Linked DNA regions of Medicago truncatula. The protein of the gene in region 1 binds, or shares a complex with, the protein of each later gene. Links are inferred from orthologs where the notes say so. Each region holds a gene or a part of one and is shown in the gene's direction. Other genes may lie near its edges.

The links.
Region 2: protein SUPPRESSOR OF FRI 4 (region 1) and protein FLC EXPRESSOR share a complex: the UniProt entries of both Arabidopsis thaliana proteins name them as parts of the transcription activator complex. The link is inferred for Medicago truncatula from reciprocal best matches to the Arabidopsis thaliana genes SUF4 and AT2G30120.

Annotation. Positions count from the first base shown.
Region 1 is NC_053049.1:48,997,982-49,006,085, reverse strand, and holds the start of protein SUPPRESSOR OF FRI 4, read left to right. Parts: upstream 1-4,751; 5' UTR 4,752-4,918; coding exon 4,919-5,112; intron 5,113-5,729; coding exon 5,730-5,830; intron 5,831-7,121; coding exon 7,122-7,248; intron 7,249-7,405; coding exon 7,406-7,827; intron 7,828-7,994; coding exon 7,995-8,104. UniProt on the Arabidopsis thaliana protein: Sequence-specific DNA binding factor that recognizes the 5'-CCAAATTTTAAGTTT-3' sequence. Recruits the FRI-C complex to the FLC promoter. Required for FRI-mediated FLC activation, but has no effect on the expression of MAF1, MAF2, MAF3, MAF5, UFC and CO.
Region 2 is NC_053046.1:32,260,204-32,268,131, forward strand, and holds the start of protein FLC EXPRESSOR, read left to right. Parts: upstream 1-4,729; 5' UTR 4,730-4,848; coding exon 4,849-5,369; intron 5,370-7,928. UniProt on the Arabidopsis thaliana protein: Transactivator required for FRIGIDA-mediated activation of FLC and for the expression of the repressors of flowering AGL27/MAF1 and AGL31/MAF2. Does not alter expression of known activators of FLC expression.

The DNA of each region.
Region 1 (8,104 bases):
TGAAACTATGATGGCCGTGCATATAAATGTATACTTTAATTTAGATTAGATTATTCATAAGCTCCCATTAGATTAGATTATGATGGCCATTAATTTGCCGAAAGTTACACCACGGTCTTTAATCTTTTATGATGCATTCCATATCTCTTTCTATCTATTAAAGGAGTTCAACTTTGCTCCATTTAAGTTTGCTCGATTTACCACATTTACTATTATGGATGTCTGACATGTGGTAAAATAGAAACCAAGGGTTGAAAAAAGCAATTGTTTTATAAAAAACAAGGCTACGTGCTTCTTTTTCATACCAACTGCACTCATGACCCTTCTTCTTCCTCCTCTCACCATCATCACTCTCGTGCTTCTCTCTCCCTCTTGCTGGCGCCGGCACTGCCCTTTCCGTTCATACAACAATAAATCCGAAATTGTAAATCATTAATAAATTGTTCTAATCCAAAGATGAATACTTAGAATCATATTGATCCCAGAAAAATCAATCATGAAAGTAAAATTAATCTCCATATTTGTTAACTAAAACTAAAAAAGCTACAACAAATATATAACGTGTGACTAAAATTTACAATTTCAGTGGCATTTTTGTTGATTTCTCAATTTCACCCAACATCAACATATAATTTCAGGAATCAAAACGAGGTTTCATCCTAAAATTTTGTTCATATTTAAAGAAACAGTAATATAATTTAAGATTTTCCCCCAACCAACAACCTCCACCTTTGATCGAAATTAAGAAGCACGGAAGTGATATGGTGAGAGGAGGAAGAAGAAGGGTCATGAGTGCAGTTGGTATTGAAAGAAGAAGAAGAAGCGCGTAGCTTGTTTTTGATAAAACAAATGATTTTTTCAACCCTTTTAATCTCAACCCTTGATTTTCTATTTTGCCACATGTCACACATCCATGATGGTAAATAGGATGAATGGAGCAAAGATGGACTCCTATTAAAAACAGAACAATATTATTAGAGTGCGTTGCTAGTAGTTGCAATCAAACATGGTATAATAATACTATTATAATTACTAATACAATCTTGAATTATATGTACAATGTCATGTTCTGTTCACTTATTTTATATGGCTTTAGTGTCAACATATGCGTTTGATATGCATATTACTAGATCCAATTTGTGAATGAAGAGAGTTTCTACGATGCAGTTATGAAACTGACTTTTTTGAAAAAGTTAATTTTAATTTTAATGTTTGATTCATTTTTAAATTGTTGGTTACTGATTAATGATCAATAGTAATTCATCTAGTAATGCTTGCAATATCTTGGACTTATCGGTACTATTTTATCGTTGACATCTTTAACATGGAAACAAAGTTGCTGATATCATTTGATAGTCTTAAGTGTTACACTTTGTGGGGACAACACTTAAAACAAGGTAGGATAAAAATTAGATTAAGTGTATTATTGTTAATCTGATAAATTGATGATACTATGACGATTGAACTTTTGATGTCATTGTGCAAACAGTGGGGATCACTCACAAAATACTTTTAATGTTATAGTGTTAACTTCACCAAAAAAGTTATTCTTATAATTTCACCGTAGAATTTTCCCATGAATTAATATGGGATTCAGCTCCTTTAGGTGTAATAACAATTAACAGTAAACATGGGAACTCATGTTTGGAAGCCGGTCGTAGTAACAGAGGATTGTTGGTTTGGTTGATGAGTATTACTGCCGCCAAAGTATCATAATTAAGATGCTAATTCTAAAACTAACTAAAGGTAAAATTGAAAATGACAAAAAAACAGTTTATACTTCTTCTATATTGGAATGCGTGTAATCAGCAAAGCAAGAAAGAAATCACAAATGAGTAAATAGTCAATTTCTCTGAAATTGTAGATTTCATCAATTACTCTTATGAAATTAACAAAACTTCAATTACCTTCATGAAATTGCATAACGTTAATCAATTTACCCCCTCCGTCAAATTTTTCTGTTAACTGTTTACGGTTATGATCAAATACACCCCTGAAATTTTGCACTTATGTGCAAAATGCCCCTAAACTTAAAAATTTATATTTTTTTTTATCCTTGACTCAAAAGATATTAAAGGCAAACAAATTAACAATTATTGATCATATAACTATGTATGGAATGTATGTTTATGCAGCTATTGGTCATATAAATCTTTATGGAAGATATGTTACTCTCATGTGTTTTAAATATATACATATATAGAAGACTTTTTTTTTATACAAGTTGGTAATTATGTTATAGTATGTAGTCATAAAGTACACAAGTCTTTGATAATTGTGTCTCCATATGTTAATATCTGCAGAAGGAAGAAGAAACAAGACTTGTTGATAAATATGAAATATGAATGAAAATGCTGCACATGACAAAACCATGATTTCTTTGGCATATATTCATTCATTTTCTTGTGAATAGAATTTTTATGACATTAGGTATAATATATTACTTGAAGAACTAAATGTATGATTTTTGGTAAGAAAAAAATTCTAAATTTTTAAGTTTAGGGGGCATTTTGCATATAAGTGCAAAATTTCAGGGGGGGTATTTGATCATAATCGTAAACAGTTAACAGAAAAATTTGACGGAGGGGTAAATTGATTAACGTTATGCAATTTCAGAGGGGTGATTGATGTTTTGTTAATTTCGGAGGGGGGGGGGGTAATTGATGAAACTTACAATTTCAGGGGGGAAATTGACTATTTGCTTAATCACAAATTATGCATTTCTCTTTTTACAATGGTTAAGTATATACTCCTTCTACAAAAAAAAATATATGCTTTTTTTTTCATATGATTTTATTCTCTAAATAAATAATTGTATCTGGATCACTCGTGAATAGAAAAATACATAGAAAAAACCAAACAATTGGCTTAATTAATTAATAAGTTCCATTAAGAACGAATTGTTCAAGAGAACTTAAGTTTGATTCTTGAATGAAACAATTTTTTACCATACTTTCCTTATCTATCGGCCGAACTCCTTGAGATTCAGAGGATTAACACAAAAGAAGAAAATACATGGCAATGAAGGTGACAAATTTTAGCATATGGTTTGAATAGAAACATTAGCAACCTAGGTCATGCGGGCTTCATCATTTCTGGTTGTTTAAGGTTGAAAGAAAGAAAAAAGTTTGAAAGCCCAACATTGTCGCAGTTCTTTCAATATAATCAAGAAATTGGTTCAAAGTACCCCTTTATTTGCTCTTAGGCCCCTCAAAATGCTAATAACACTCCCTTTTAGAGTTACGATTCAAACCATTCGAGCTATAAATCCCTCTCACTCAAGTTACAATCCAAACAACATCAAAGTTTTCATTGATTTGAAATCAAACATTATTGAGACTTCCATTTATGTGAAACCACGCATTGTTGAGACTTTTGTTGATGTCAAACCAAATGTTGAGATTTCCGTTGACGTGAAACCAAATGTTGATTACAAGAGAGAAGATTGTTAAGCTCGTTGTTTCTAAACTTGTTGATAATGAAGTTGATACGGTGAAATACCTTTTTTTTACCAAAGTGAAATATAAACTTAGAGATAATTTGATTAATTAGACTTGTCGTCAAGCATCAATAGTCGAATGTACTTTAATTATATAAAAACTTCATCATGGTGGTGGATGAAGAGTGCGAAATTTAGTACAGGGTTGTAAAAAGGTTGATGTGTACCAAGGAACCAAAAAGAAGTTAAAACGTGAAGTCACAAGTCAGTAAAAAGTGAATTTACATTTATGTCATTTAGTATTGTTAATGTAGTACACAAGCATCCAATGAGACAAGGTAAGAATGTCACCTTCTTGCAGGCAGTTTAATCAAGGAAGAAAATGAGAGTGTCATTGACATGGGCAGGAGTACGGTATACCAAATAATATCCTAGTGACTTGAAAGATAAAATAAAAAGCTATGTAATGTTTATAAAGTAAGTTTACAATGCACGTCAAAGGTATAAAAAGTCCATAAGAGTTGAAATGTTAAAAATGCAATATCTATTGAAACGTTTGGTCGATCACAATTATGTTTACCGGTTTAAATCTTTTGGTGAGTTTACAACTATTTATGATATTTTTTGGGCTCATCATGTATCTGCTAATTTGTTTAGTATTTTTCACATTGTTTTCTTAATGGATTCCACTTATAAAATCAGTCGCTATAAAAGTAATTATTTGAGATAGCTGAGGTAACCTCAATTTAATTAACATATTATGTTGGTTTTGATTTCTGACGTACAAAAAAAAAAATCCACTCATGCTCTACAAACTTGTCTCGATCTTTCGAAGTCTAAAAACAATATGTCAAAAGTTATTGTGATTGACAAGGATGACACACAAAAATGACTCACGTTGTTAGTATCTTCCCTTAATCTACTACTTTAATGTGTTGGTATCATATTTCAAAAAACGTGAGAGCAAGATGCAAAGATAAATTACAAAGTCAAATATTTTGATGTCAAAGAGGATGATTTTGAAAAGGTGGATGTCGAAAAGAATGATGCCAAAGAGATGAAATTGATAAGAGTTATGTAACACCATCATAAAAGTGTGAGAAAAATGAAACGATGTCTATTACATTAACTAAGGGATTAAAATCAATTTTTTTTAGGGGAAAATCAAAATCTTATTCTATATTTTTAGGGACGAATAAAAATATATAAGATTCTTATTCAGCCTCAAGACTATCCACAATTACATAAATAACCACACGTGCGTATAATAATCCATAATTATGACCCACCCAAACACAAGGGTATTTTTATATGTAAAAAATAAAAGAAGAGAAAAAACAAAGTTACGATTAAGAACCCTAGCCTAGGTCTTCTTCTTCTTCTTCTTCTTCTTCTTCATCCTCCATCGCAGTAGCAGCATAGGGTGGTTGAACGGAATCGGAATCTCTAAACCCTAGCGGCATCTTTATCTGAATTTCGATGGGGAGGAAGAAGAAGCGCGTTGCTTCAAAGGTATGGTGTTATTACTGCGATCGTGAATTCGATGACGAGAAGATCTTGGTTCAGCATCAGAAAGCCAAGCACTTTAAGTGTCACGTTTGTCATAAGAAGCTTTCCACTGCTGGTGGCATGTCCATTCACGTTCTTCAGGTCCACAAAGAAAACGTCACCAAGTATATTCTCTTTTCTCTTTCATCATTTTAGGGTTTTCAATTTCACTTTTTTATTTTATTTTATGTAATTTGATCTCTGTCTTACGAGTTTCCCTCATTCTATGCTATGATTTGTAGTTACATTTCAAAGAATGTTTCCAAGTGTGATTTATTCATTGCTAATTATCTATTCATGTGTGAATTCAATTTACTATTTAGGTTCAATTTGGATAAACAACTTAATTAAATGCTTATAGCATTAAAGTTTATCTTATAAGTGCTTACTTATAAGCTATTTCTATCGCAAAAGATTAAATAATGTCAGAACGATTTTCATATAAGCTATAAGCTGGTTTTATAAGCTATACTAGAGAGTTTATGGAAATAAGATGATAAAAGCTGATACATGTCATAAATCATTTTCATAAGCTCTCCTAAGCAGTTTTACAAGTGCTTATACCAGTAGATAAGCTCAGATAAGACAATTAAAGCAGACCCTAGTAACAAAGAGGGGGGTTGTTTGCTTTGTTAGTCAAGCATTTGACTGACCCTTGATGTACAAACTTAATTATGTTTGAGTGAATGCTCTCCTTAAAATATTAATGTACTAGATTTTACTGAACTCTTAATTATTTCAGGGTGCCAAATGCGAAACCTGGAAGAGAGAGTACAGAAATTGAAATATACGGAATGCAGGGGATTCCGCCAGATGTCTTGGCTGCTCATTATGGAGATGAAGGTTACACTATACTCTGTCTCATTGTTTTTTCTCCTTGTTTCATAGTTCTTATTGATAGTTTATACTCGAGACACCTTAATAACTACTACAAGTACAAACAAGACACCTTAATAACTACTACAAGTACAAACAAATCTGATTTTTTACCTCTGTTTAATGATTCCATTGTAGTGTCAGAAATAGTAGGGATGCAGGGAAGGAGGCCCCTGCATAACTGTAACAGATGTAATGTAACTGCTTATTAACCGTAGTAAGTTAATTAGTTATCTGCAGGGTGGGTATTATAAACGGTAGCAGATATATAGGAGTTAGGGGGTGGACAAACGGTTGGATCCAGTCGGTAAACCACCATTTAGAGAAATCCGCCGGCCGGAAAATCTCAGCCCATTTATTTTCGCGGATAGGTTGGGTGGCGGGTTCTAACGAAAGCGGGTGGGATGAAATGGATAGCAGAACAAGAAGGAGAAGAAGGGGGCTACTTAGATTTTGGCCGTCGGTGCCGACACAGTTGCATATATCCACGGCCAAGTTCTGCCTTAGTTTACAACTTTACATGGGTTAAATAAAAGAAAAAAGACAAAAATGCATATTTATTTACAGTTTCCAAGTTGCAGTTATTATGAGACTGGGTCTTGTTTCAAAAAAAAAAATGAGATTGGGTCTCAAGACTAATACTCTGAATTAGTATCGACTTGTCGCATCACTGTCTTGTAATTTAAATAAAGAATCAGTATATGTATACAGCGAACATGGTAGCGGTCAGTTTCTCATGGATTTATTTTGAACAGACGAACTCGACCTATTCTAACCCTTGCATAACCGAAAAACTGAACAGATGACCTGGTCTGCTCATATTTTCATTCGATTTTTCCGGTTTGGGTTGGGGTTCGGTTTTTTGTTCAACCCTAACAGGACTAGGCATTGAAATTGATCATTAATCTGGGGATTTAGTTTATGTTGATTCAATAAAAGAATTCTAATCCTAATTTAGGTGGGCTAATTTAGCTTCTTCAAAAAAAAAAAATTCTAATCTCTCTTGTTTTCTGACACTATTCTACCGAATACCTGACATGTATGGTGGCTGTTGTTTTATGTATTATTCTGTTTTGTTGGTATTATTGACGTCAGGAGCGTTTTTGTACAATTTATTATTTAGGATAAAGGCTTTGTACAAGTATTGTTAGTGATGATAAAAATGTTGAATCATACTTAAAATTCCTTTTTTTTTTTTTTTTTTTTTGTTTCACGAGAAATTGTTTAATATTCTCTGACAGTTTTGTATGTATTGCAGACGATGATGTTCCATCAAAGACAGCCAAGGTGGACATCCCATCAACCCCATTTGCAGGTGGAATGGTGCCACCTCCTATGGGTACCGGATATCCTCCACGATCAACCATGGGCCCAATTCGACCAATGTATGCTGTTAAACATTTTTTTCATTTTGATTTTCTCATTCGAATTCTTATTCTATTTGGAACGTGGTAGAAGTGATATATTCGTGAATATTTTTCTATTTAGAAAATTATCAGTGACACAAAATCTGCTCATTTACTTATCTCTCTGCTGCTGCAGATATAATCCTGCTGTACCAGGCCCTCCTAATGCTTGGGGAGTTGTTCCACCTCGACCTCAGCCATGGTTTCCCCAGCCTCCAACTGTTTCAATGCCTCCTCCGGTTCAATACCCACAGCAACCATTATTTCCTGTTCAGAATGTGAGGCCTCCATTGCCATCAACTACTTCACCTGCACTACAATCTCAGATTACTCCTCCTGGACTGCCTTCATCTACACCTCCTGTCCCAGTTTCACAGCCTTTGTTTCCTGTTGTTGGGAACAACCACATGGCCACTCAAAGTTCACCATTTTCCGCTGCACCCATGTCTTCAAGTGTACCATCAATAACTCCTGGGCTTTCTTCAAATGTTCCTATTGACGCACATTTGGGCATCAACTCTTCTGTGACAAGTAGTTATCAAGCAATAGGGATTCCAGGTAACGTTTTATTTTCTTTCCTTGAACCACTGTGACTGGTTTTTTGACACAACTGAATGTGTTTGATGTAGTAAAAAACTTGGAACTAAAAATTTAGTGTTTCCATCTCAGTTGATCTTATATGATTCATGTGATTTTCATTTTCTTGTTCCTCTGGTTTCTTATAGGTGGGATAGCAAGTAACTCGCATTCTTATGCTTCTGGTCCAAATACCGGTGGTCCTTCAATTGGACCTCCACCAGTAATCTCAAACAAAGCTCCCGCTACTCAGCCTGCC
Region 2 (7,928 bases), on another chromosome or scaffold:
TCATCTCTTGACAGCTTGTTTCAAGGGACTATGGGGTTCAATACTTTGTTGCAATTTTCCATACCAAATCTAGATAGAATTTCATTTGCGTATTTCTGCTGATGAATGAATATTCCTCTATCCATCTGCTTGACTTCCACACCAAGAAAATACCTCATCTTGCCCAGATCTGTCATGGAAAATTTATTTTCCATAGAATGTTTGAACTCTTCAAACACTTCTTCATCATTTCAAGTGTAGATTAAGTCATCTACATACAAACTTACGGTAAGTATTTTTCCTCCAGTTTCTTGCCTAACAAACAAAGTATAGTTCTATTAGTGTCCCATCTGGTTACAGGAGCAAAAACTTCATTGTAATCAACTCCATACTTTTGAGAGTACCCCTTTGCTACTAATCTGGCTTTGTGTTTTTCAACTTTACCATTTTCATTGTATTTTGTCTTATAAATCCATTTTACACTAATCTTCCTGCTTCCAGTTGGTATCATTTCTTTCTATGGCTTCAATTTCCTGATCCATAGCCTCTTTCCAACAATTGAACTTTGCAGCTTCCTCATAAGTAGCAGGATCTTCTCTATTACTGAAAAAGCCAGAGTCTGAAAACTGCTTTCTTCTTCTTCTGCTTCTCTTCCTAAGATATAGTCTCTGCTCCATACAGGAGGTTTTCTGATTCTACCAGTTTCATCTTCTTCTTCATTGCATAACTTGTTAGTTGTTACAAATAAAAAAATAAATAAACATCACAACATCAAAGCTGCATCGAACTGTACGTTCATATTCCCATGCATAATATTAGAGAACTAGTAGAAGATATAGTAGAATCAACCGTAAATTTAAACCACAGAGTGTCTCATTTTTTTAATAAAAGTAAACAAATTTAAGCTTTTCAGTCTTATCATATAAAATATTTAATTACTAAAATATTGCGTGTATATACACTTACGACTTGAAACAGAGAAAAATAATGATGTGATATTTTGGTAGCCGAAAGATGGGAATCTGGATATACCAGAAAATAGGTAGAGCGTGTCAAATTTAAGAGACAAAGATGTGAACAAACGTTGAAGGGAAGAAGTGGAATATGATAAACTGGTTTGTGATTTGTGTCAATTTTGATCCCCTTACTTATATTCTTTTAAGGATTTTATTCACCTATTTTGAAATTTGATAGTTTTAATTCCTCAATCAAATGTTTGGTTTAAAATATGATAATATGATATGTTTTAAATAAAATTTTTAAACAACTTTTTTTTTATAACGTCATCAATTTTTTTCTTCCTATCATCGAATCATAAACCACGTTATTAATTTTTTTAGTTAAAAAAATATGATGAAGGGACAAAAAAAATTATCAGATTTTTAAATAGGGAGACTGAATTTGTAAAATGATGAAAATATTATGATCAAAACTACAATTAAATTAAGGGAGCTCTACGGTCATGAAACTGACTTTTTTTAAAAAAGTTAATTTTAATTTTAATGTTTGATTCATTTTTAAATTGTGGATTACTGATTAATGATTAATAGTAACTCATCTAGTAATACTTGCAGCATCTTGAACTTATAGATACTATTTTATTGTTGACATCTTTAACATGCAAACAAAGTTGCTGATATCATGTGATAGTCTTAAGTGTTACACTTTGTGAGGTGTTACACTTAAAACAAAGTAGGATAAAATTAGATTAAGTGTATTCTTGTTAATCTGATGAATTGATGATACTATGAGGACTGAACTTTTGATGTCATTGTATAAATAGTGGGGTGTTACTCACAACACTTTTGATGTTATAGTGTTAACTTCACCAGATAAATCATTCTCATGACTTCATTGTAGAATTTTCCTTAAATTAAAGGGGAAATCGACGAAGCATTTCTCTCGCACAAAAAAAAAAAACGACTAAGCATATAGATGACCGGTTAGTATTTGAGTAAATGCTAGTTTTATCTTTCATCTATTTTCTTTATTACCACCTTACCTATGTTTACCAAGTATGGTAAGTGGTTTCTTATTTCGTCAAATTTCGTTAGAATGCATGGGGTATGGACTCTTACCTAGCTTAGTTAGTTTCAATCAAATTAAAAGAAACTAACCAAGTTTTTTTTTTTTTAGAAACCAACCAAGTTGAGGTAGTCTTGTTCGCAAAACAAAATTGAGTGGTCTCTCAATTTTGAAAACGAATTCAGAGATTCAAGATGATCATATATAATAAGTGGATTGCAAATTGTTAAAGGAATCATAATAATTAAGATATAAGGGTAACATTTTTGTATCCACCTCAACAGAGAAGGACAAATAGAAAGATTTGAAGCTCTTTTATTCTTCCTCTCTCACTGAAATAGCTAGCTTTGATTCAATGTGAAAGCAAACCTGCACATGCAACGTTACTACATCTGTTTTCCTTGAAAACCATAACATACCTTTTATTTTCTCACTTTTCCACGAAATCCACCATTTCATCCATCATAACCCAATACCCACACCTAGATTTTACTACTACATGCCCTCAATATTCTCAACGGACAACTTAATTAACTTTTTTCTACCATTAATTAAATCATTAAATCATTTATGCTTGTGTATCACTATCCTCGAATTGAATCACAAATCCCTAAATCCTAAATTCAATCCCCAAATTCCTAAATCTCAAATTCCTAAATGTCATACAATTCTCTATTTTGTTCAAAATCAAATCTTGCATTAAACGCCAAAATCGAATTACATGATGTTGAGTGTTGGTGCAATTTGGGGATTTAGGGATTTGAGGATTGAATTCAGGATTTAGAGATTAAAGATTCAATTTGGGATATGATCTTCGATTTCAGGGACCAAAGTTACCATACCATTTTCTACTTTTACTTTAGTTCTTGTGATACATCATATGTCATGTCAGCATAAAACATTTGTCACGTCATCGGTTAACAGAATTATTTAATGTTAGGGACTAAAGTGATAACAGAAATGCACATTCAATGATTACTTTGTATTTAATCTTGAGTCAGAGATCTGTGCAGAGTCAGTTACAAAGTGACCATTTACTCTAATAATAAACATGACATCTAATTTGGATATAAAACTATGAACATTAGCTAAATCTAAAGGTAAAACTAACTCCCACCCCAACTACCTAAACACATGATACTACACCTGACATAATAAACCTAAACATACGATACTACACCTGATCTAAAAAAGACGTCTAACAAAAAGGTGATAAATTGATGTTTATTAAATTATTTTTACAAAGGAGGTGTTTTTTTTTATTCGCCAAGGGAGGTGCTAATGTGTTGGGTTTAATTTATATGCATCATCGGTGTACTCAAATTTTACAAATGTTGTCACGTTATTTGATGAGGTATGACGAGTCATGTCTTTTTGACTCGTTAAACAAAGTCACAACATATTATCGGATTTTTTTTTTGTGGTGTTCAAGGTTCGAACCCCGGATCTTGCATATATTGTGCACTGTCCTTGCTAATTGAGCTAAGCTCACGTGAACACAACATATTATCAGATGATGCATCTGTAAAATTTTGTAAACATCACCAATAATGTTTTAGGCAATTAATCCCCTCAAATTGTAAGTTTCGGCAATTACCACCCTAACGTTAACAAAACTTCAATTACCCCTATGAAATTGTACAATGTTAATCAATTTACATCATCCGTCAAATTCTTCTGTTAGTCAATATCATGTTTTGCATATCCCCCTGAAGTTTTGCACTTATGTGCGAAATGCCCCCCGAACTTGATTTTTTTTCTTATACTTAACTCAAAAGATATTAAAGACAAACAATTAACATAGTGGTAAATATTCTTGTAAAAAATGTATAATATATTTTTCAGCTTAGCTACATATTTAAATTGATATGTTTTGTTTTATAAATAGAATAGATAATATTTTTTTAACCAATGATTAGATGAAATTATTTCTAATGGTTTTAGTCTGCAATACTTATCTGATTGTGAAAATTATATCAAGTAACAATATACACTATTATCATTTAGCAATATAATTCATTACCATGTGGCATCATCCACTATTTTGAAATCACATAGATATGAAAGAATGAAATGAATAGTAAATAAATACACCTCTTAGATTAAGCAATAGTCTCATAAATCTTGCTTTAGCTTTGGATTAAAATTGGAGATGCATTAGTTTGTCAGCAAAATTAGAAATTCATTTCACATATTGTTGGGTTTTGGGAGTTTTCTTGTGTCTCATTGTTGTTGTTTATCTTCTTGTTTCATTCTTGCACATCTTGTGTCTCATTGTGCTTGGCTGTGGTTTTAATAGTATAAGTATATTTTGCCTTTGCAACAAAAAAAAGTAGTAGGTAAGTAAATGTTAAGGGACTGAAGTTGAGCCTATTAAGTAGATCATGATAATATTGAAACATAAGAATGAAATAGAAAATCATTAGTGCAGAAGAAACAGCTATTCAGTTTCATTAAAGTTAAATGATAATTATTTACTTTTAATATCTTGAGTGAAGTATAAGAAGTAAAAAAATATAAATTTTCAAATTCGGAGACATTTTGCAAAGTGTCAAAATTTCAAGGGTATTTACAAAACGTTATGTTGACTAAACGAATAATTTGACGGAGGGATAAATTGATTAATTGTGCAATTTCAAAAGTAATTGATGTTTTGTTAATGCGAGAGAGAAATGATTGACGAAAGTAACGATTTCGAGAGGGTAATTGGTATTTACTCGGGAAAAATTATGTAAACCATTTGAATTGAAAGGGAATGAAATAACGAAATTTCTCCGTAGCAGTGAAGCCTGAAACCAGAGTCACTCCTCTAATCCATTCTTCCCCGTCCGTGTAAAACTACAAATGGCAGGACGCAAACATCACCACCACCATAATCTTCACTCTTCTCTCTCCCGCCGCGACGAGCCACGTCTCTCTCATTCCTCCTCCTCCTCCACCTCAACCACCGCCCTCGAAGACCGCATCACCACCCGCCACCGCGAAATCCAAACCCTCCTCCACGACAACCAACGTCTCGCCACAACTCACCTCGCCTTAAAACAAGACCTCACCGCCACTCAACAAGAGCTTCGTCAGCTCTCCGCCGCTGCCGCCGATGTCAAAGCCGAACGAGACGCCGAGGTCCGTCGGATCTACGAGAAATCGCTTAAGATGGATGCTGAGGTACGTGCCGTTGCGGCGATGAAGTCTGATCTTGATCAGGTAAGGGCTGATGTAAGGGAACTTGCGGAGGTAAGGAAGGAGCTTGTGGAACATTTGCAGAGTGTTCAGAGTGAGCTTGCTTTGGCAAGGGAAGATTTGAAGCCATTGCCGATTATTAAAGTTGATATTGAAGCTTTGCGCCATGAGATTCAACGAGGAAGGTAAAATTTTCGTTGTGTTAGTGCTGTTATTGGCTTTGAATTGATATTGAATCGAATCATATGCGAATGTGAATGTGAATGTGAGGGAGAACTTGCTTTGTTAGTGTTGTGATGTGAGAACAATTGTTAATTTTTTTTTTGCGCATTGGTGGCATGTAGAAAGAATGAGTTTCAAAAAAGAATTGAAGCACAAAAGTTGAAGCTTTTAGATTTTGATTGTTGAATGTATTTGGGTTTTTGTTTGTTTCAGTTCTCAAGTAGCGGTTATTGTGTTCCAAAATATGAACAAATCCCTATTGTTTAGCAATATGATATCTAGTACAAAGTGTTGTTAGATAGCGGCTATAGTTGCCCTAGTGTAGTAGAATTTGATTGAGCTGCTATTTTTTGTAATCCACTATTGTCAACATTGGTTGGACCGGCATATCCTTTATAAACTTACTCGGTCCTTACATAGCCATGATACATAGGCCCAATGCTGAGGTATACAGGCCCATTACCGAAATAGATAATATCAATACCGACATAGACTTGTGTCCCAGGGAGAGACTAAGTCATACCAGCACATAAGCAAGTGCTGTTTGCTCAATCAAGCAGCAACGATCACGGATAATACTGGGGTGAGTGGCAATTGCAGTTATCCGAGATCAAGGGCCATGACAGGGTCCTTAAGCAAACCCTAACCCATTCACCTTTTACCACGCAAGCAGTTTTCTCAGACCTTGATCACGGTACATCACCGGCAAGGTAGCCCTCACGTGATCAAGCATGAACATTGGTGATTTTGAGTATGTATAAATTTTGGACAATTCACTCTTGAGGTGCATCAGACTAAAGACTAAACAAGATTAATGAAGTATTTTTGTAACTAATTTTATTTTAGTAATTAGCTATGAATCACCAACACAAACAGGAACACCAAACGACACCACTGACATGTAGTCTGTAGAGATGATATTATTTTATTAAATAGAAGTGATTGAATGTATCTACTTGTGTCGGACACCAAACTCACCTTTAATCTAAACTATGCGTGTTATATATAGTTCAGGAAAAATCTTGGTCTAGATGGTGACATGAATATGCTATGAGGAATGATACCATTTTTAATGATGGTAAATTTGCTATGACTAATATACTAAACCTTATTAAATCCCAGACTTGGTTATGTATTAAAGTGAAGGTTGAGGATCCTTTATTGTCTTTCTCATGTTGGTGCATGAATCCAATATCTTGTATTCTTCAGTGTTGTCAACCTTATTAAATCCCAGACCTGGTTATGTATTAAAGTAAAGGTTGAGGATCTTTTATTACCTTTCTCATGTTGGTGCATGAATCCAATATATTGTATTCTTCAGTGTTGTCAAATTGCGGCTATAGCGTGTTGGAATATGAACAAACCGCTATTGTTTTTCAATACTCTATTTTGTACAAAGTGGTGTCAAGTAGCGGCACTATAGCACTGTAGCCTAGCGGAATTTGAACAAATCACTATTTTCCGCAATCTGCGTTTGATAACATTGGTATTTTTCAATTTGTTTTGTAAGATGGGTTGCTTGGATTGGGTTTTCTGTAAATTAAAGTGCTGGGTGGTTTTTTGTGGTCTGGATGGTTGTATCTGAGTGGTCCATAGAATTGCAGGTGGTTTCGGCCACGTAAAACTTTAAGTATTTGCTACTGTGGGATGACTTCTGGTGTTTCTCGTGTTTATTTTCCATGTAGACCAATGGTGTGACTTGATATCCCAGTATAGTTGGTGTCTGTAGGGCTATAACATTTATAGTGGTGTCTTTACTTGGCTAGTTTTGCATTGTTTGTTGTCACTTTAGCTTGTGGGGGATTGTGTTCTGTTGAGCTGCACCCTTTTGTATTATTTTGCCCTGGTCTGTGGCACTTGTGCTCAGTTTTTTCAAAACTCAACGAATTCATTTGCTTACCGAAAGAAACCATACAAAATGATGGGGAATTAATGGGAGAGGTAAACCATTCAAGCTGGATGAAATAAAGGAGCGCTCTGAGAAGACCTATTTAAATTCTAGAGAAGAGAGTAGTTCACATGAAGGTTTGTTGAATAGTTAGAGGGAGAGGTAAACCAATGAAAACTGTAGACTAAATTAATTTGCTTGTTTCATTCACATTGTTAGAATCATGACCGAGTCTTGATTCATTTATCTGATTACTGGTTGAAGTTATTCACTTTGTCTTATTTTAATACTATCAAATTGAAAAACTATTGTACCCCCTTAAATGACGGACCAGTTCATGTGAAAAACTATTCTTATGTTATGACTTGTTAAGTCTGTGGAAGCATGTCTGATTTATATCTCAATGCTATTTGTGCTATTTGTTTACCCTGATTTCTAATATAGAAGTCTGCAGTTGGTTCTGTTGCTTATCAAACTCTAACCAAAATAACATTTAATTTGAACATCTAGATGTTGTAAATGCGCTCCTCCCAAATATACCTGCTGTTTTTTCTTGTTACATTTTTGGAGCACCTAGTCAGATGCTAGGGAAAAAATCAGTCTTTACCATTGGGCATTTTAAACTTCGATTTGG